4 linked regions of the Arabidopsis thaliana genome follow. The protein of the gene in region 1 interacts with the protein of each later gene in a pairwise test. Each region holds a gene or a part of one and is shown in the gene's direction. Other genes may lie near its edges. The genes, in order: HAI1, PYL10, RCAR3 and AT3G22490.

Evidence for each region.
Region 2: the proteins of HAI1 (region 1) and PYL10 interact in binary tests that used the Arabidopsis thaliana proteins (3 or more experiments, as listed by UniProt).
Region 3: the proteins of HAI1 (region 1) and RCAR3 interact in binary tests that used the Arabidopsis thaliana proteins (3 or more experiments, as listed by UniProt).
Region 4: the proteins of HAI1 (region 1) and AT3G22490 interact in binary tests that used the Arabidopsis thaliana proteins (3 or more experiments, as listed by UniProt).

Annotation. Positions count from the first base shown.
Region 1 is NC_003076.8:23,893,391-23,899,526, reverse strand, and holds HAI1 (PP2C protein (Clade A protein phosphatases type 2C)), read left to right. Parts: upstream 1-2,587; 5' UTR 2,588-3,029; coding exon 3,030-3,506; intron 3,507-3,589; coding exon 3,590-3,892; intron 3,893-4,261; coding exon 4,262-4,367; coding exon of another isoform or gene 4,368-4,390; exon of another isoform or gene 4,391-4,499; coding exon 4,500-4,855; 3' UTR 4,856-5,123; downstream 5,124-6,136. Other genes in the region: AT5G59210 (myosin heavy chain-like protein), read left to right, coding at 5,908-5,943, 6,041-6,128. UniProt on the Arabidopsis thaliana protein: Acts as a negative regulator of abscisic acid (ABA) signaling for stomatal closure in leaves, and controls water loss during leaf senescence. Activated by the NAC029/NAP transcription factor during ABA signaling in senescing leaves.
Region 2 is NC_003075.7:13,898,800-13,903,151, forward strand, and holds PYL10 (PYR1-like 10), read left to right. Parts: upstream 1-2,342; 5' UTR 2,343-2,420; coding exon 2,421-2,543; intron 2,544-2,625; coding exon 2,626-2,844; intron 2,845-2,930; coding exon 2,931-3,140; 3' UTR 3,141-3,201; downstream 3,202-4,352. Other genes in the region: SDG16 (SET domain protein 16), read left to right, coding at 49-259, 343-429, 515-574, 668-757, 847-933, 1,021-1,095, 1,177-1,277, 1,367-1,457. UniProt on the Arabidopsis thaliana protein: Receptor for abscisic acid (ABA) required for ABA-mediated responses such as stomatal closure and germination inhibition.
Region 3 is NC_003076.8:21,558,469-21,563,829, forward strand, and holds RCAR3 (regulatory components of ABA receptor 3), read left to right. Parts: upstream 1-2,132; 5' UTR 2,133-2,557; coding exon 2,558-2,695; intron 2,696-2,976; coding exon 2,977-3,192; coding exon of another isoform or gene 3,193-3,272; coding exon 3,273-3,485; 3' UTR 3,486-4,241; downstream 4,242-5,361. Other genes in the region: FTSH11 (FTSH protease 11), read right to left, coding at 4,555-4,704, 4,814-4,867, 4,963-5,052, 5,253-5,361. UniProt on the Arabidopsis thaliana protein: Receptor for abscisic acid (ABA) required for ABA-mediated responses such as stomatal closure and germination inhibition.
Region 4 is NC_003074.8:7,968,662-7,973,176, reverse strand, and holds AT3G22490 (Seed maturation protein), read left to right. Parts: upstream 1-2,333; 5' UTR 2,334-2,438; coding exon 2,439-2,756; intron 2,757-2,832; coding exon 2,833-3,138; intron 3,139-3,227; coding exon 3,228-3,392; 3' UTR 3,393-3,496; downstream 3,497-4,515. Other genes in the region: ATECP31 (Seed maturation protein), read left to right, coding at 312-623, 703-996, 1,093-1,257; PDF2 (prefoldin 2), read right to left, coding at 3,651-4,097. UniProt on the Arabidopsis thaliana protein: LEA proteins are late embryonic proteins abundant in higher plant seed embryos. The function of those proteins is not known. Promotes germination rate. Enhances cation toxicity (e.g. lithium ion) and osmotic stress (e.g.

The DNA of each region.
Region 1 (6,136 bases):
AGAGTTAAACCTTATTTATGTCTTGTGGACAATGGTGACACCTCATTGGTTCCTCGTAATTGCCGAACTTTCTTTCAAACAACTTACGTTTAGATTGGAACATTAAGCTTTTACAGACTAGTGGTTAGGAATAGGAAAAATATTTGTGTTTTGAGTTTAAAGTTTGTGTTTTTCAAACTAGATGTTGAGTTTGGCGCATGGTTTTGAAATAAATTTAAACAGGAGAATCCATTAAACACATAACTCAACATCGAGTTTGAAAAATGTATGAGATCGGGCATTGTTCATTATCAAGAAAAGCATTTTGTATTAATGTATATAACTAATCATGTGTGATGTGGAAATTCCAACGACAAATTGGTAAGATTTCAATTCAAAGTTACAAAACAAAGACGAGATAATTAATCAAACTAGCTAGGACAATATATTGTCTCCTTACCGAAAGCTCTCCAACCACCTACTAAAGTAACTAACCATGTTTCAGTTATAATTTTATTTTTTCGTATTCCTATCAAGTATCAAATGATATAGTTAACCAACATTTATATATATATATTGAAATCACTAAACAAACAACAAAAGTAACATAGATTTTAATGGAACTAATTTTCACCTTATATTTTTACATAAGATTTGAAAGTGATGGTTAGTGACTTGTTGGTCGATGACGAATTTGTTTTCAGGTTAAATTTTAATAATAATAATATTTGAAAGAAAGATGAAGCTTTCACGTGGCACAATGTATTTGCCTACTGTCAACTTCAAAAACCTGGCAACTGCTATGCAGCTTCAGAGGACACGTGTCATGTGTTACACACGCGCTTCGTTTTTTTTCAACCTTTTGATTTTGTTTTGTTCTGTGATGTGGGACTCACATAATTCAAATCATCATCCTATTGCTTGCCGCCACGTCCCAGAGAATTTTCCGCGAAAAGCTGAGCTTCTCTCTTTCTTTCCTTAATTTTAGTTAGGTTATGAATTATTTTTGTATTAATACTAACTAACTAAAATATCATCATCACATTACATAAACATAAGATTCATCGGCGTAACGTAAGTAACAGTTAAAGCCCAAATTACAACTCTCGATCCTACTTAATGCATAGTAAACGAATGTTGACACAGAAAAAATCTTGGTCAAGACATAAAAGTAGAGAATGTAAACACGTGTCGAACATCGAGGAAGAAAACAGGTCAGAGAGGGGTCAACGTTGTTAAATGTTAGTAATAGAGAAGTGGTCCCCAGTTTCCACCAAAACCCATCTACGTACTTGTATCTCATTGGATGTCATTCCTGATTGATTTAGAATTGAAAACGTTATATTTTGTTTATTTCTAATTGTTGATTGAATATCTTATAATTTTTGCCCACAAAAGAAAATTATAAGTGTATAATATATAGTTCACTCGAATTTAACATGTCCATTGTCCAATGTAGAACGTATGATCATTTCTGTTTTTCAGTTGCTTTTATTTTAAATTCCCAAAAACCCAATATTGTGTCAAACATTGGAGAATGATGTTCACTTTTATTGTATTCACAAAATGCTACTTATCAACTAAGAAAATTGTAATGTCAAACATAAGATGGTGATATTTTAAAAATAGATGTAAAATTAGTTTAGAACTGTCTGATAAGTCATAAGATTGCACGATTATAAATCATTGAATATTCCGGACACTTGTCAAGATTAAAACCATGAATAAGTTTTCAAATTCATTTTCATCATCTCAATTGTAAAACTAGGTAAGATATCCTTTAAAATCTTTGAATATTAGTTCCCCGGCCCATATAAAATCTCTTAAATATATTTATTTGAAAACTCTGACTGTTTGCACTTGCAGCATAAAAAAAGGGATGAAACAAATGGAACAAATGCAGAACAAAACTAATAGACCAGACAAGTAAAACAAACGAAACAAAACAAGTGTTGAAATGATAACTCACAAATTTGAACTTACTTTTCTAGCAAATAAGAAATTGTTCTAATTAAAAAAAAAAGCATATGCAGTCTCAAATTGTTTCTAAGAAGTATTCACGCACCAAGGTTATATTTGTAGTGACATATTCTACAATTATCACATTTTTCTCTTATGTTTCGTAGTCGCAGATGGTCAATTTTTTCTATAATAATTTGTCCTTGAACACACCAAACTTTAGAAACGATGATATATACCGTATTGTCACGCTCACAATGAAACAAACGCGATGAATCGTCATCACCAGCTAAAAGCCTAAAACACCATCTTAGTTTTCACTCAGATAAAAAGATTATTTGTTTCCAACCTTTCTATTGAATTGATTAGCAGTGATGACGTAATTAGTGATAGTTTATAGTAAAACAAATGGAAGTGGTAATAAATTTACACAACAAAATATGGTAAGAATCTATAAAATAAGAGGTTAAGAGATCTCATGTTATATTAAATGATTGAAAGAAAAACAAACTATTGGTTGATTTCCATATGTAATAGTAAGTTGTGATGAAAGTGATGACGTAATTAGTTGTATTTATAGTAAAACAAATTAAAATGGTAAGGTAAATTTCCACAACAAAACTTGGTAAAAATCTTAAAAAAAAAAAAAGAGGTTTAGAGATCGCATGCGTGTCATCAAAGGTTCTTTTTCACTTTAGGTCTGAGTAGTGTTAGACTTTGATTGGTGCACGTAAGTGTTTCGTATCGCGATTTAGGAGAAGTACGTTTTACACGTGGACACAATCAACGGTCAAGATTTCGTCGTCCAGATAGAGGAGCGATACGTCACGCCATTCAACAATCTCCTCTTCTTCATTCCTTCATTTTGATTTTGAGTTTTGATCTGCCCGTTCAAAAGTCTCGGTCATCTGCCCGTAAATATAAAGATGATTATATTTATTTATATCTTCTGGTGAAAGAAGCTAATATAAAGCTTCCATGGCTAATCTTGTTTAAGCTTCTCTTCTTCTTCTCTCTCCTGTGTCTCGTTCACTAGTTTTTTTTCGGGGGAGAGTGATGGAGTGTGTTTGTTGAATAGTTTTGACGATCACATGGCTGAGATTTGTTACGAGAACGAGACTATGATGATTGAAACGACGGCGACGGTGGTGAAGAAGGCAACGACGACAACGAGGAGACGAGAACGGAGCTCGTCTCAAGCAGCGAGAAGAAGGAGAATGGAGATCCGGAGGTTTAAGTTTGTTTCCGGCGAACAAGAACCTGTCTTCGTCGACGGTGACTTACAGAGGCGGAGGAGAAGAGAATCCACCGTCGCAGCCTCCACCTCCACCGTGTTTTACGAAACGGCGAAGGAAGTTGTCGTCCTATGCGAGTCTCTTAGTTCAACGGTTGTGGCATTGCCTGATCCTGAAGCTTATCCTAAATACGGCGTCGCTTCAGTCTGTGGAAGAAGACGTGAAATGGAAGACGCCGTCGCTGTGCATCCGTTTTTTTCCCGTCATCAGACGGAATATTCATCCACCGGATTTCACTATTGCGGCGTTTACGATGGCCATGGCTGTTCCCATGTACGACGTCGTTTTATTATAAAAATTATCCTTTAATTGACCGTTACGACGTCGGTTTTTAATTTTAATAATATGATGTTTAGGTAGCGATGAAATGTAGAGAAAGACTACACGAGCTAGTCCGTGAAGAGTTTGAAGCTGATGCTGACTGGGAAAAGTCAATGGCGCGTAGCTTCACGCGCATGGACATGGAGGTTGTTGCGTTGAACGCCGATGGTGCGGCAAAATGCCGGTGCGAGCTTCAGAGGCCGGACTGCGACGCGGTGGGATCCACTGCGGTTGTGTCTGTCCTTACGCCGGAGAAAATCATCGTGGCGAATTGCGGTGACTCACGTGCCGTTCTCTGTCGTAACGGCAAAGCCATTGCTTTATCCTCCGATCATAAGGTTTTGTTCGTTTTTTGATAATCTCTCTTGTTTCGTTTATCCATCGTTAAATGTTTATCCGTTAGATCTACGGTTATGGTTTACTCACTGTAATGAAACGAGAATTTCGTTACGTGTTGCGTTCGAAACTTACCTATTAATATTGTTTAATGCATTTTTTATTTATTATTTCATTTATTGGAAATTAGAATCTTCTTTAATGTGCATGCAACACCTGGACGACGATTAAGAATGTTTAATGACTTTTTACTTTTTAGATAGAGGATCTGATAAAGTTTATGAGTTTTAAGATTCTTTAATCCTTCGTGTCACTGTTATCAATGACTATATCATTCTCTCTCTCTCTCTTGTTTAAATTTGTTGTAACAGCCAGACCGTCCGGACGAGCTAGACCGGATTCAAGCAGCGGGTGGTCGTGTTATCTACTGGGATGGCCCACGTGTCCTTGGAGTACTTGCAATGTCACGAGCCATTGGTCAGTTAATTGATTACACTTGACGAAAACACTCTTGTCCCTATCCTAATGTTTGTACAAAGTTTTTCCGTACTTTCAATAATGATGATTATTAACTCTCGTTTCGCCGCGGATTTTTTTTTTTTTTTTCAGGAGATAATTACTTGAAGCCGTATGTAATCAGCAGACCGGAGGTAACCGTGACGGACCGGGCCAACGGAGACGATTTTCTTATTCTCGCAAGTGACGGTCTTTGGGACGTTGTTTCAAACGAAACTGCATGTAGCGTCGTTCGAATGTGTTTGAGAGGAAAAGTCAATGGTCAAGTATCATCATCACCGGAAAGGGAAATGACAGGTGTCGGCGCCGGGAATGTGGTGGTTGGAGGAGGAGATTTGCCAGATAAAGCGTGTGAGGAGGCGTCGCTGTTGCTGACGAGGCTTGCGTTGGCTAGACAAAGTTCGGACAACGTAAGTGTTGTGGTGGTTGATCTACGACGAGACACGTAGTTGTATTTGTCTCTCTCGTAATGTTTGTTGTTTTTTGTCCTGAGTCATCGACTTTTGGGCTTTTTCTTTTAACCTTTTTTGCTCTTCGGTGTAAGACAACGAAGGGTTTTTAATTTAGCTTGACTATGGGTTATGTCAGTCACTGTGTTGAATCGCGGTTTAGATCTACAAAGATTTTCACCAGTAGTGAAAATGGTAAAAAGCCGTGAAATGTGAAAGACTTGAGTTCAATTTAATTTTAAATTTAATAGAATCAGTTGATCATAACAAAATCTTACCTTTTTAAATTTATTTTTTGTTATATATAGGACGATGTTTATAGGAATATTAGAAATGTTAGACTGATATCTTTAAGAATAGGAAAAGAACCAAATATTTACTAAGGAATTTGTTTTCAAGTGTATTTTGTAACTAAACAAGGCAAACAATCGGTATAGAATACTTCAAAGGTTAATTGGGAGGATTCAATATTATAACATTTTTTTCTTATTATGTAAAACGTTTTTTTTTTTTTTTTGCCAACATAATCTATAAAACATGTTTATATAACTCTTCATCAAACGGGTATGGTTCACACTTTATCATGTGACATATTAGAAGATGTCGATCATTAAGACTGAACATTGTTTAAAGTACTTAGAAATCAAAATGATGATTCAAGCTTTGATAACTTCCAACCGTTTCCAACCGCCAAACTTTGGTAACTTTTTTAGAATCGAACTCCTAGCTATCGCCTAACGATTTTTTTGAACATTCTCGTTTTTTTTTCTTTTAAATGTCTTTGCAATTGCATAAACTGGTTTTTTTTTTTTTTTTTTTTTTTTGTCGGAAACTGGTTTTCTTTTATCATCCTGTTTTCAACTTTTATTCAATTTTTTTTTTCTTTTTGAAATTGAAAAACTGGGCTCGCTTTCAAGGTCAGAGAGTTATATATGTCCATGGGCCTATTTAACACTCCTATAAGCCCAAATATAGATATATTCCATTTTTGTCGCCGGCGATTTCCTCACCGTTAAATCGACGTTCGAAATTCCGAGGAGAGGAATCATACCATGGAATCGCACCACGCGTCTCTAGGTCGCCGTACTGTAAGGATATTTCCGATATGGCCGTCTTTATCTTCATCTGAAGACAGTTTCTTACATCGGTGCTTTTTTGTTGTTATTAATTTCTGTGATCTTGTAGTTGGAAGAGATTCGTCAAAAGAGAGCAGCTCAAAGGCTAAGCAAAGCTTCTTCAGGTCCAGATCTTAGTGAAATTCCCAATCCTGCCGGTAATTTT
Region 2 (4,352 bases), on another chromosome or scaffold:
ATGTTGGTTTATGATTTATAAGTTTTATCTATTGTTTTTGGTGTGTAGGGCTCCCAACCCAGATAACGTGTTAATTATACAAACTCCTTCAGGAGCCTTCTCTGCAAAGAGTCTTGTCCAAAACAAGAAGAAAGGTGGTTCCAGGCTTATTTCATTAATCAGAGAAGACGATGAAGCACCTGCAGAGAATACCATTACATGTGATCCATTTTCTGCTGCTCGTTGTCGAGTATTTAAAAGAAAGATCAATAGCAAGAAGGTAATATTGGGTCTTATCCACAAAAAGTCTGTATGTTTCGTTGCACATCTCCTTTGTCCAGTAGGCTGATCTTTGTTTTGTAGAGGATTGAAGAAGAAGCCATTCCTCACCACACAAGGGGACCACGCCATCATGCATCAGCAGCAATCCAAACTTTAAACACATTCAGAGTAAGAAAGTCTCCATGCAGTTCTTCTACTCCGTTTCTTACTATTATTTTTTGGATCTGACATTTCTGGGTTGTATTATGTGTAGCATGTGCCAGAAGAACCCAAATCGTTTTCTTCTTTCAGGGAACGACTTCACCACTTGCAGGCAAGAATTCTCTGATGTTTGAACGAGATTGGAATGTTCAGGTTTTATTTTTTGATATTATCGGCTGTAACATGTGTATGTTTAATGTAACAGAGGACAGAAATGGATCGGGTCTGCTTTGGGCGATCTGGAATTCATGGATGGGGTCTTTTTGCAAGAAGAAATATCCAAGAAGGAGAAATGGTATGTCAGCAGACCCATTTGTGATATTGTGTTTGGTCTATTTGGGATGAGGGGAGTGTTTATTGTCGAGAGGTGCTATTGTATTTCAGGTTCTTGAATACAGAGGGGAACAGGTGAGAGGTAGCATTGCAGACTTGAGAGAAGCACGTTATCGCAGAGTAGGAAAGGATTGCTATGTGAGTTGAAAAAGTTTCCATTTTATCTTCACAAATTGTCTCTTCTCTCTCTATCTCTCTTAACCAAAAGAAGGATTTATGTTGCAGCTTTTCAAGATCAGTGAAGAAGTAGTGGTTGATGCTACAGATAAAGGGAATATAGCTCGGCTCATCAATCATTCGGTAAGCTGCTTGGCATGGACTTTTTACGTACAAGAAATTTGACAGACTGTTAAAGCCTAAATCAAAATACGTGGTGTGTAGTGTACACCAAACTGCTATGCGAGGATTATGAGTGTAGGAGATGAGGAAAGCAGGATTGTCCTGATAGCCAAGGCCAATGTAGCTGTGGGAGAGGAGTTAACGTACACAACGCATTTCTATATATACCATTCTTCAATCTAAAGCTGATTGATTGTCATAGTTTAAGAAATGTTGTGTGGTGTTTTGGCAGGTATGATTACTTATTTGATCCAGACGAGGCAGAGGAACTCAAGGTGCCATGCTTATGTAAAGCCCCTAACTGCAGGAAATTCATGAATTAGAATAGAAAGGTATAGATCCTCTAAGTTTACTTCACAGGCTACAACACCAAGAAGAAAAGGCCAAAGCAAGATTGTCTCTTTTTGCTCCAAAAACAATAGATTTATAGGTAGAGAGAAAAGCTAAGTGATCCAAGTCTGATCTCTTCTGCCTCTCTGTATAGACAAACTCGTTTGTGTCACCATTATCCTCAAAAGAATTCAATTTCATTCATTTTGTTCATTTCAACGAGACTTGAGCAGAAAACTTGGGATAATTCCAACTGTTGTGACCGTTTTACCCTATAACCATCGGTTTACTACGGTTATACCGCGAAGGTGATGAGTCAATTCAATTGGGAATTGATTTTCCTTTCGCGCCGGTTTATGAATCGTGCTTTCGTCAAGTGCCATGTCAGACGAATTGTAGTTTGCTGCTGATAAAAGATCTCGTAATGGTTTTCTTAAAACACTTTTAAGCGTTTTTGACGGCCCAATTGATGCGAATATGGATTGACTCTTATCTATACTTCAGATATGTTCAAAGCCACACAAGGTAAATTGCATAACGGATAACAATTCCCATAAGAAAAAATGTTTCGGTGTCAAACTGTATATGAGCAATTCTGAAACATTCTAAAGATTTTGTGGTTATGTGTTAAACTTAAAGCATTTGATAGAGAGATATTTTTCAAAGAAATAGGAAAAAATAATGTTACAATCCTCCACATTAATGTTTACAATCCGTCCATCTGTACTTGACATGTCGGATCATAATCCAAGATAATGGGAATACAGATATAAGTTAAAAATGAATTCACTCATAGAAACTTGGAAGGCTATATTCGTCAATATAAAAGAGCATCCTTTAAATAGCTGCACACTGGTACAGTGGTTCTACTATTGAGTGAAAAAAAAAAAAAACTAAAGGCACGAATAATTTTTGTCTAATCAAAATTATTTAAATTGCTGCTATTTAAGATAACGATGAACGGTGACGAAACAAAGAAGGTGGAGAGCGAGTACATCAAGAAACACCATAGACACGAGCTTGTAGAGTCTCAATGTAGCTCTACGCTCGTTAAGCACATCAAAGCTCCTCTGCATCTCGTAAGCTTTGCTTTGCTCTGTTTTTCAAGTGTTAAAGATAACGATTTTTGAGATGTTAAATGATTTGTTTTGTTTGGAAAAGGTGTGGTCAATTGTGAGGAGATTCGATGAACCACAAAAATACAAACCATTTATCAGTAGGTGTGTGGTACAAGGTAAGAAGCTGGAGGTTGGTAGCGTAAGAGAAGTGGATTTGAAATCTGGATTACCAGCTACTAAAAGCACTGAGGTATTAGAGATTCTTGACGACAATGAGCATATTCTCGGCATCAGAATAGTTGGTGGTGATCATAGACTCAAGGTAAATTGAAATTTCCTTAAATGTACCATTCATTCCGACAAGATTATTGTTTTTTTTAGAGCTTAATTTGTTATTTGTCCAATCAGAATTATTCTTCAACCATTTCGTTACATTCGGAGACGATAGACGGAAAAACAGGGACATTGGCTATAGAATCGTTCGTGGTGGATGTGCCGGAAGGTAACACAAAGGAGGAGACATGCTTCTTCGTGGAGGCTTTGATTCAATGCAATCTCAATTCTTTAGCAGATGTTACCGAGCGTCTACAAGCAGAATCTATGGAGAAGAAGATATGAGATGTGACTTGAGAATCTTTTCATTCGGAAAAGAAGGAAAAAGACCAAAGAAGAGAAATAACTCTTCCCTTTTATAGCAATGTCTATGTTTTTTCTTCTTCTATTTCCATTTTCTGAATGTTTGTATATTATTGGAAGTTTGTAACGAAATGATTTCGAATAGCTGTCAAACGAGAAATATAAATTCAAATTTGTAAGTGTTTATATGAAATGCTTTTTTATTTTTAACATTTCCACATGAAAATATAAATAACATATCATGACACATGCAAAATCATATTTATGAAAGTTTTTTCAACTCTCTCCATTTTTTCGACATATCAGCATTAGATAGAGTGACACTTATCACATCAACATATGAATTACATTTCTTATTTAATTTAATGTATTTAAGAATTTATAATCATGCATTAATTCTTTCTAAATTTTTTGACATGTTTGAACTTATTAATTAAATAATTTCAATTTAATTAGGTACAAAGTATATCAAACTCACATAAATAACTTATTTAAATTAAATTATATAAATCGTATAAACTTATGTATAAACATAAAATTAATAGAATTTTAATGAACTTTTAGATTTGATTAAAGTATAAAAATTAAATAATATGATATAAGAATTTATTTCATGTTTTCATATACTAATATATATATATATATATATATATATAAAAGATTAATAACAATTGATATTAGTTAAATTTACGGTTTAGTTTAAGGTAAACCCAAGATGCTCTCATCTGGAATTCTGTTATGATCTGTACGTCCTCAAAGTTCCAGAGATGTTGAGAAAGATCAAACATCAGCAGCGTCAGAGGCTTTTTCTCTGGAGAGGTGATGTTGAATGGCTCTATGCGCTGCTCGGAGAGCAAAAGAGTCTTGAAGAAGACTCTAGCAAATCCATATTGGCATCTAAGCTTGATCTTTGTGTTCCTGTTATGAAACACAGAATCTAGACTGAGACTGAAGTTGGATACCTCAGCTTTGGGATGGAGAATACCGGAACTCTTGGCCGGAGTAAGAGGATGGAAAGCATGCTGAAGATGAGCAAGAGCGTTCCAAGAAAGACTATGACGAAGAAAACAAATCAGAAATATACTAAGTATGAGTTGTTTCAAAGAACGTAGTAATGGTTTATAATAATATTAACAATAGAATAAAATAAATAGTAATGGTTTAAGAAAATATTAATAATAGTGAGCAAAAGCT
Region 3 (5,361 bases), 2.3 Mb from region 1:
TAATATCTAAGTATAGATATTTCATGGTGGTAATGTCTAAACTTGAAATGATGGATTTATATAACTTTATATATGCAACCAGCAAGCAAACAAGAGCATATACATAAAGTTATTTATTAGCAGAGAGCTTCCTATTTGCTCAGAGAGTCATCAGTCTTACATGCCAATGATGTCAGGCACTGAGAGTCGGGTTGCAAATGGAAGGCAAACTCAACACCTTCCTTGACCACACTCAAAATCTCCGATATACATTCCTGAGAGCCCACCTGCAAGCTCCAAGCCCAATCTTAAAAAGAAACTATGGGTATCCAATTTTTTTTTTTTGTGTACTTTAATCTTGAGGTAGTAGTATTTTCGAGAATACTTTAGCACGTTACAAAGTTAGCAACGAATTTTCTTTTTCTAGATATGACTTATAAGAGCCAAACCTTTTTATGTTATAGAAATCTTTGTCACTTTGAGATACTTTTATTCAGGATTTAATAAAGAGTGTTGGATAAAGCACGTGGGACCTTTTGCTCTCTCGAGATTGGCTCTTCGAGTCAGGAAAAGTTAAGACTGTGAAGCAAACCCTATATATGATACTGTATACAATATATTTTTTGGATAAAGGATTGTGTAAATTAAATGATCAAACTATATACTTACTATTCTGGCCTTAGTGGTTATAAGATACTAATATTATACTGTAAATGATCAAAACAAGATACTATTGTCAGAATGCGAAAAAATAAAGCGAAGTCCAACTTAATAGTTTACGAACTTTTACTTCATATTATGAGTCGAATGAGAGTGAATACTGGAATTGGTGATGATGCAGAAAACCGGATTAGACGAAACAAAGAGAACATAATACAAATCATTGGTATGGAACTGACAAAACGTACGAAACAATCGATGTTAAATGGTTAGAATAAAATTTGGATGATAACCATAATAACTGCAGTGCATGTATAATCATTAAATTTTAGCTATTTTTAATACTTGGAATAATAGATGTTTACTATTTTTATCATATACCTAAAGAAGTTCTTGTAATTTGTACTTAGTACCTGATTTGTCGTTCTAATCCTAAAAAAAGATTTGGTCCTTTGTAGTTTGCTTCAAAGGCCCCGAATCTGCATTGATCATGGTCTGGCTCGGGGGTGTTAAGCACACTTTTAACTAGTGATTATATGTCTAATTGGGACATCAATATACCTCCATGCACCTAGTAATGTGACCATCCGTATAATATGTGTACTATCTCTTCTTCAGCTAAAGGTTAACGAGCATAATCTGGTTAAGCCCTATGTTTGGTTTGCATTATAACAATCTCTCTGAAATTTTGTAGTATTTTCATCAATTTAAATTAGTATATTTTCGACAATTTGAATTGTTCTTTGAGTCTGATCACAGTCAAGTACACGAACTATATGCTGATCTGATCGAATTCATTCTACTATATACACACACATACACAAACATTTTACAGTACACCACTAATACTATAATCCCAATAACAAGAAAACCTAAAATATAAGTACACATTAACAAAAGAAAACAGTTTGCAAGTTATTAAGTGGTTTTTGGATTTGGTTTATAGTTTTTAGATTTTTGCATTAATTATATATATATATATATATATATATATATATATATATATATATATATATATTTGAAACTAAATATGAAAAAGTTATAGCGTTAAAAAGTGAAAAACCAATGAAACATAGATTTTAGATTTCCTTTAAAAATCTAGATTCCTTATTTTTATAAGGAAAACCATTTCTCCCAATCTTAATTGGCTATAAAGTAGATTTTTGGAAAAAACTTAAGCCATAAACAATTTCAAAAAATCTATAACCATTTCAAAATCTTTAATCCTTTTTTTTTTTTGTCAAAACAAGTCTTTTATCCAAATGAAAAAGCACCCAAGAAAAAAAAAAAAAAAACTATCCAATAATTGAGTCAGCTCTCATAGGCTTAAACAATACTTTAAGGATCAACATTAAATAATTACCACACTTGAGGGGTAAAACTAAAAACGGTAAATAAAACACAGAAAAACGACAACGAGGGGCAAAATCGAAAATAAAGAGAAAATAGTGGGATAATAGAAGAAAGCATCCAATGAGAGTAGTGAAATCAGAGAAAGACCTTTACTCCTTTAGTCCAATACCATCCAATCAATCTTTTTCTTTTTTTTTATAAAAATCTCTCACTGAGTCTTTTTATTTAAATATTATAAAAAGGAGAGAGAAAAAAAGTTTGTTGGAGGATTCGTCTCTCTCTCTCTCTCTTTCTCTTTCTCTCATCTTCTTCTTATCTCCCTCCAAAGACGGCGACTGTATAATCTATCATTTCTTCACAGTAACGCTTTCATCGGAAGATCTCGCCGGAAAAAAACTTCTCTCTGAGATCAGATCTCTTACGATTCTCAGCTCAATCTTATCTTTTCCTTTGTTGTGCTGCTTTTCACTCTCTTCTGCGCGACGAATTTGGCCTTGTTTTTTGTTTGTTTGTCGTATCCGACGCGGAGGTATTGAGAAACCGTGGCTTAAGACGGAGGAAGAAGATGGAAGCTAACGGGATTGAGAACTTGACGAATCCGAATCAGGAAAGAGAGTTTATAAGGAGACATCATAAGCATGAGCTTGTGGATAATCAGTGTAGCTCTACGCTTGTTAAACATATCAACGCTCCTGTTCATATTGTAAGCTTCTCCCTTCTTCTTCTTCCTTCATGCGCTCTGATTTTCTCTGTTTAAGTTAATCGGTTCTTCTTATTGTTGATTCAATCCAGAATTTGAAATCTCTCTCTATTTTCATCGATTGTTGATCTTACTGATGAAGAATCGATTGGTTTCTAATTATTGAAAGCTTACATAGCATTTGTGTAATCCCAATCTGAGTTTGTTTGATCTGGTTTTGCTTTATTGGAAAAAAAAGCTCCCAAAAACGCTTATGGATTAGTTTGAATCTCTCTGGTGAATAGGTGTGGTCACTTGTGAGAAGATTTGATCAGCCACAGAAGTATAAGCCGTTTATCAGTAGATGTGTGGTGAAAGGAAACATGGAGATTGGTACAGTAAGAGAAGTTGATGTGAAATCTGGACTACCAGCAACTAGAAGCACTGAGAGATTGGAGTTACTTGATGACAATGAGCATATTCTCAGTATCAGAATCGTTGGTGGTGATCATAGACTTAAGGTAATCAATGAATCAAAAGGTTCGTTTTCTGTTTACAGTGAATCAAAGACTTATATGTTCTATATTGTTTTTGGATTTAGAACTATTCTTCAATCATCTCTCTTCACCCCGAGACTATAGAAGGAAGAATAGGAACACTTGTGATTGAGTCATTTGTGGTTGATGTACCAGAAGGAAACACAAAGGATGAGACTTGTTACTTTGTTGAAGCTTTAATCAAATGCAATCTTAAATCTTTAGCTGATATCTCTGAACGTCTTGCGGTTCAAGACACGACAGAATCGAGAGTCTAAAGATCAAAGGAGTAAGAAACTATTGAATCAGAGAGATTTTGGTTGCCATGGATGAAGCTCTCAAAGGGAAAAAGAGAGAGTGGGTGAGTTTCTTTGAGGATGGACAAGGCAAAAAAAGTATCATCATTTATCCAGTTACATAATAAGTTTCTCATTTGCTATTTTTGGGGTCATTTCACTTTCAAACCCTCTTTTTAATTTCATGTGTCTAATTTAATGAATGTGTTTTTGGTTTCTTCTCTATAGAACCAAAATATGATTTTGGAGTTTAGCTTTAGCAACTTGCAGGAATCTTTTTACAATTTGCAGAGAAGACATGTTAAAAGTGTGTGTGATCATGGGGTTCCACTCTCTTCTTCCTTTTTTAACACTTTTAGTTGCACCCATAAAGGCCACACACCGTCTTTCTTATATTTATTTTTTCTACTTTTAAAGATGAACCAATAGGGTTTGTGAGATGTGAAAAATCTCCACAAAGGACCATTAAGGAAAGAGATCTTTGTTGTTGTTTATAGATTTTGTCTTGACTTGTGATTGGGGAAACACACTTTAGCTCCATTAGCTGTAAAAAGTTTTGTATACTATTTTTACAATGCCAAAGTGTTTCTGTTTCTTTTTTCCTAAATTACAGTAGTGGATAAATATTCGAATCGGTCACATTGACAGGTGGTATCATTAGAATTGCTTCTATATGTTTTCTTTCAATTTTGTTCCAAACAATACATGTAATTTCATCAGAGGACCTTGTAAGCTGCAATAAGATTCATTGGCTTTCAAAATCACATCAGAGAATAAAGACAACAATTATTACTTTCTTTTCAATGTTGTTTTACATTTTTCTTCATAGAATTGAACAGAATGTCAAAAAGGGCAAAAGGTTCAAGGTCGAAGCGAAAACTAATGAGCTAATGAAATAAAAACTACAATAATTTTGTAACATGAGATCAATAATTTCATATGTTTTTCTTTTGGTTGTTGTTGTAGAAGCTATGGGAGATTTACTCTGTACAAAGCTTTGAATCTCCCTTTTTCACCCAAAGAAGTGTGTTTATGGTAATGAATGATGTGATTAGGCCAATACCAAGTCTCCTTCTTCTTGTTGTTGCTCTTCAAATTTCTCGCCTTCCTGCTTTGGAAGGAGAATACGCTTTATGTCCTCTGCGGTTAGCGTTTCATACTCTAGAAGTGCGTTTGCTAACGTGTGTAGCTGCTTCTCATGCTGGGGAAACACACACACACACACACACACACACACACACAAAATCGAAGTGAGATTAAACAATTTTGATCCAGTAAAAAATGCGACTATCTGTAAACTTGGCACAAACCCGTTTCAAGAGAGATTTCACTCTCTCATATGCTTCTCTAAGAAGCTTCACAACCTATACATGTATCAACACCACCAGATGAATGATTAGATTTAGGACCAATGGGATTTGAATGAGGGAACTAAAAAAAGTGAATAGAGAGTCTCTACCTCGGCATCAATGCGTGATTGCATATCAGAGCTTGGTCTTTCTTTTATATGAACTGGTCCTATTGCCTCACTCATCCCACAACTCGATACCTTCCATTAAAAAGAAAAGCATTACTACAACTACAACAAGAGGTAAGATCCATCTTCTCGCATTAACTTGTAAGTTCACCTTAAGGATCTCAGAGACTAAGTCCCTCAAACCTCATTCCAGAAAACTAAAAGAACCAAAGGCTAACTCTTTTGATAAACCAGAAAAAAAGAAGCAATTAAGCACATGTACATGAGGTTACCATGTATTGTGCAAGTTCAGTGGCCTGTGACAGATCGCTACTCGCTCCAGTGGTAATATGGTCCAAGCCAAAGATGAGCTCCTCTGCAACTCTTCCTCCCATACATACA
Region 4 (4,515 bases), on another chromosome or scaffold:
AAACAAACGTGTCCAATGTTATACGACTCATATGTGGTAACGTTGGAAACATGTCCTTTTTCATTCACTCTTAAAACTAAATGACAAATTTACAAAAAGAAAAGTAAAATCCCTATCTCAATCTAAGCTTTATCTTTTTAGCTACAAACTCGCAAACTGACACGAGTGTCCTAGTCACCTCATCTACGAGTAAGTGTCAAAATCTCAGAACGTTGATCCCATACTCATGCACCTCTCTTTATATAATAGACACTCAATTCAGGTAGGAGTTATCGTAGTTTGTAACAGAACATTAACGTAACAAAACAAAGATGAGCCAAGAGCAACCAAGGAGGCCAAGAGAGCCAGTCAAATACGGGGACGTTTTTGAAGTCTCCGGTGAACTCGCTGATAAGCCCATAGCACCTGAGGATGCAAAGATGATGCAATCCGCGGAGACACATGTGTTCGGCCATACTCAGAAAGGCGGTCCAGCTGCGGTCATGCAATCTGCAGCCACCACCAATATACGCGGTGGCTTTGTCCATCCAGATGACAAAACTGAGCTTGTCGCTGAACGAGGCGCCACAGTGGAGCAAACGGTCCCTGCTGCAACTGTCACAACCGAATTCGTCGGTGGACAGGTCACAAGTTGTTTCGAAAAGTACTAGTACTTCTTTTCATATATCCGTTTTTTGTTTTGGAGTAATGGTGAAGCTTTAGGTCGTTGGACAACACGTTGAACCGAGGCGTGTAGTCGCTGCTGCGCGTACGGACGAAGAAGCTTTGCAAAGTACAATAACGATTGGAGAAGCACTGGAAGCAACTGTGAAGACAGCTGGAAACAAACCTGTGGATCAAAGCGACGCCGCAGCGATTCAAGCGGCAGAGATGAGAGCTTCCGGTACCAACGTCATTGCTCTAGCTGGAGTCGCCGCTTCAGCTCAATCTGCAGCGGATCACAACGCTACCGTAGATCGTGACGAGAGGAAAATCAAGCTTCGTGATGTTTTGACGGTTAAACCCTAATTTTCAAAACATTTTCATCAATGTTTTTGATGTTTTCCTTTTAAAGTAGTGGCTAAATGTTTTCGAACCGAATGAATTATATAGGGTGCAGCAGGGAAGTTATCGGCAGACAGAGCTGTGACGAGGGAAGATGCCGAGGGAGTGGTGAGCGCAGAGATGAGGAATAACCCTAAATTGTGTACTCACCCTGGTGGTGTAGCGGCTTCTCTTACCGTCGCTGCTAGGCTTAACGAGAGAGTTGATATATGACAAGACAAATCCGGCGAGAGGATCGATGATCTTTCTTTTTTTTGTTTGTTTGTTTGTTTGTTCGTCTCTCTTTCACAACTTAGGAAACTTGTTATGTAAAATCGTCTACAGCTTTTGGTCCTTTAGCCGATATGTTAGAAAATCCGGCGGGGAGAGGATGGTGTTCACAAGCTTGTGACATTTAATCGACTAGCTTTTTTGTTCTTTTTTGTATCTTACTGCTTAAAAACTTCCCAAGGATGATGTTGGAATGAATAATGGGGACTTTTTAGTTTGAAGTTAAAATCCATTCTTTAGCTGATTTGCTTTGAACTAATAATTCCTAAGAGAGTTAACACTTACCACTACTGATCTATATAAATGGGATATTCCTCCAGTCCAATGGGGTTTGTGACAATTAAAAATATCTGAGTTTTAACCAAAAAAAACCACAAATACAGATACAACAGTAAAACAAAAATCCAAAAGAGAAGAGCGTTTTTACTGGAACACCTTGAGCATTACCTTCCTTCTTATTACCCTCTTCCTTGTTATCATCCTGCTTCCTTATCCTGATGGTTATACTTAGCTTCAGATTCTGTACGATCTTTCTTCTTCTTGTCCAATGTCTCGGATATATAGCTTCTTCACAAACTCTTCGATCCCTTCCTTTATGCGTTGCACATGTGGGAGTACGTCTCTGACGGTTCTCTCGACCAACGCCTAGCCTCCTCTCATGCAGGAGCATTTCCTCGATTGGTTGAAAGGTTTAATGGCGTTGATGACCAGAGAGTATTCGCTCACTTGCACCTCGAGTTCAGTTATATTATATATGTTGCCATGTTGGAGTAGGTATGTATTAGCTCTCATCTCATGGCTTCAGAAATGTTCAGAACAGCTTTGCTCATTGTTGTTATGTTGTCTCAATATTGAAACGTGGCCAATGTTGTACGAAACATGGAAAAAAGTATTTAAACCTAAATGACAAAACTCTATCTCAGTCGGTCTGAATCATCATCTTGCTAAGGTTGCTATAAACTTGGAAACTGACACCTGCCTCTTAGTCACGTCATTGACAAAATGACAAGTGTCAAAATCTCATAATGTTGCTCTCACACTCATGCACCTCTCTTATCTTTATAGGAGTTGTTGTCACTTTTGTATGTAACACAAAACGGAACATAACATAACAAAACAGAGAGATGAGTCAAGAAGAACAACCAAAGCGGCCACAAGAGCCAGTCACTTACGGTGACGTTTTTGAAGTCTCCGGTGAACTCGCTGATAAGCCTATAGCGCCGGAGGATGCAAACATGATGCAAGCAGCGGAGACACGTGTGTTTGGCCACACTCAGAAAGGCGGTGCAGCGGCAGTCATGCAGTCTGCAGCCACTGCTAATAAACGCGGTGGCTTTGTCCATCCAGGTGACACAACTGATCTCGCCGCTGAACGAGGCGTCACAGTGGCGCAAACTGACGTCCCTGGTGCACGTGTCACAACAGAATTCGTCGGTGGACAGGTCATAACTCAAATCCAGAATTACATCTTTTTTCTTACGATCATGTTTTATAATGGTGAAGATATATTTGTCATAGGTCGTTGGACAATACGTCGAGCCTAGGCCAGTGGCGACTGCGGCAGCTATGGAAGCAGAAGTTGTGGGTTTGAGTTTACAAAGTGCAATAACGATTGGAGAAGCATTGGAAGCGACTGTGCAAACCGCTGGAAACAAACCGGTGGATCAAAGCGACGCAGCAGCGATTCAAGCGGCAGAGGTTAGAGCTTGTGGCACTAATGTGATTGCTCCTGGTGGAATCGCCGCTTCTGCTCAATCAGCAGCAAATCACAACGCTACCATAGACCGTGATGAGGATAAAATCAAGCTCATTGATGTTTTGGCGGTTAAACCCCAATTTTAAAAACATCTTCAATGTCTTAATGTTTTAGTTTTAAGATTGTCTAAATGTGTTTGAACCGGATGGCTTATTAGGGTGCGACCGGGAAGTTAGCCGCAGATAAAGCTGTGACCAGGCAGGACGCAGAGGGAGTGGTGAGCGCTGAGCTGAGGAACAATCCTAATTTGTCTACTCACCCTGGTGGTGTAGCGGCTTCTATTACTGCCGCCGCTAGGCTTAACGAGAGAGCTGATATATGAAAAATCCTGCGAGAGGGAGATGTTTTGGTTCTGTTGTTCAAAAAAGTTCAGTCATAATGTAAAAAAATGGTCACTTTCCGGTTATAAAGTTGAAATCTTTCTCTAGCACAACGGATCTACATAAATATGGCATTTCTCCAGTCTACTAGTTTTGTGACATTCAAAACATGTTGATTTTTTCCAGCAAAGTTTACGGCTTTTAACCATAAGATCCAAAAAAGAGATACAACAGTAAAACAAACTGCCAAATATAGAGTTTTACTGGCTTGAACTGGCAGCTCCAACAAGAACACCTTGAGCATTACCTTCCTTCTTGTTACCTCCTTCCTTGTTATCTTCTTGTTTCGTTATCCTGATCTTATACTTAGCTTCAAACTCTGTAAGATCTTTCTTCTTTTTCTCCAATGTCTCGTATAGCTTCCTCACAACCTCTTCAAGTCCGTCCTTGTTACGTTGGACAGCTGGTAGTACCTCTTTGATGGTTCTTTCGACAAGAACGCCTCCTATCATGCGGAAGCATTTCCTCGATTGGTCGAGAGGCTGAATGGCGTTAATGACCAGAGAATGTTCGCTCACTTGCATCTCGAGGTCGGTTATGTTGGAGTAGATTTGGCTTAGCTCTGATCTCTTGCCTTCATACATGTTCAAAACAGCTTGCTCATTCGGCGGTTCTCTTAGGCCACCGCTTCCAGATTTGCTGGCCATTACTTCGATCCTACTACAGAAATTAGATCCAAGAAATCACGAATTGCATAGTTGAAGCAAAAAATGAGAGTAAATCAATAAAGAAACTCAAACAACAACACTCAGAGAAACATTTGCATCTGACACAACTACGAACCGAAAAACACAATTGTTACAAAACAATTCCAAGCACATTGGAAAGAATACTAATCACTTAACCAATGCAGAGAACTATCTTACCTCAAGAATGATTCATACTTAATTCATTATTCTCTCAGAAGTTATAAAATACAAAACATGGTGAAGCATAAGGCTTTTACCAGATCAAGATCAATCCTACAATCATTCCATCACTATCTTGTCACGAACAATCACGCCCTTTTCCATCAAATAGATCTAAATACTACAACAGCCACATCTAAACCAATGACATAGCTTA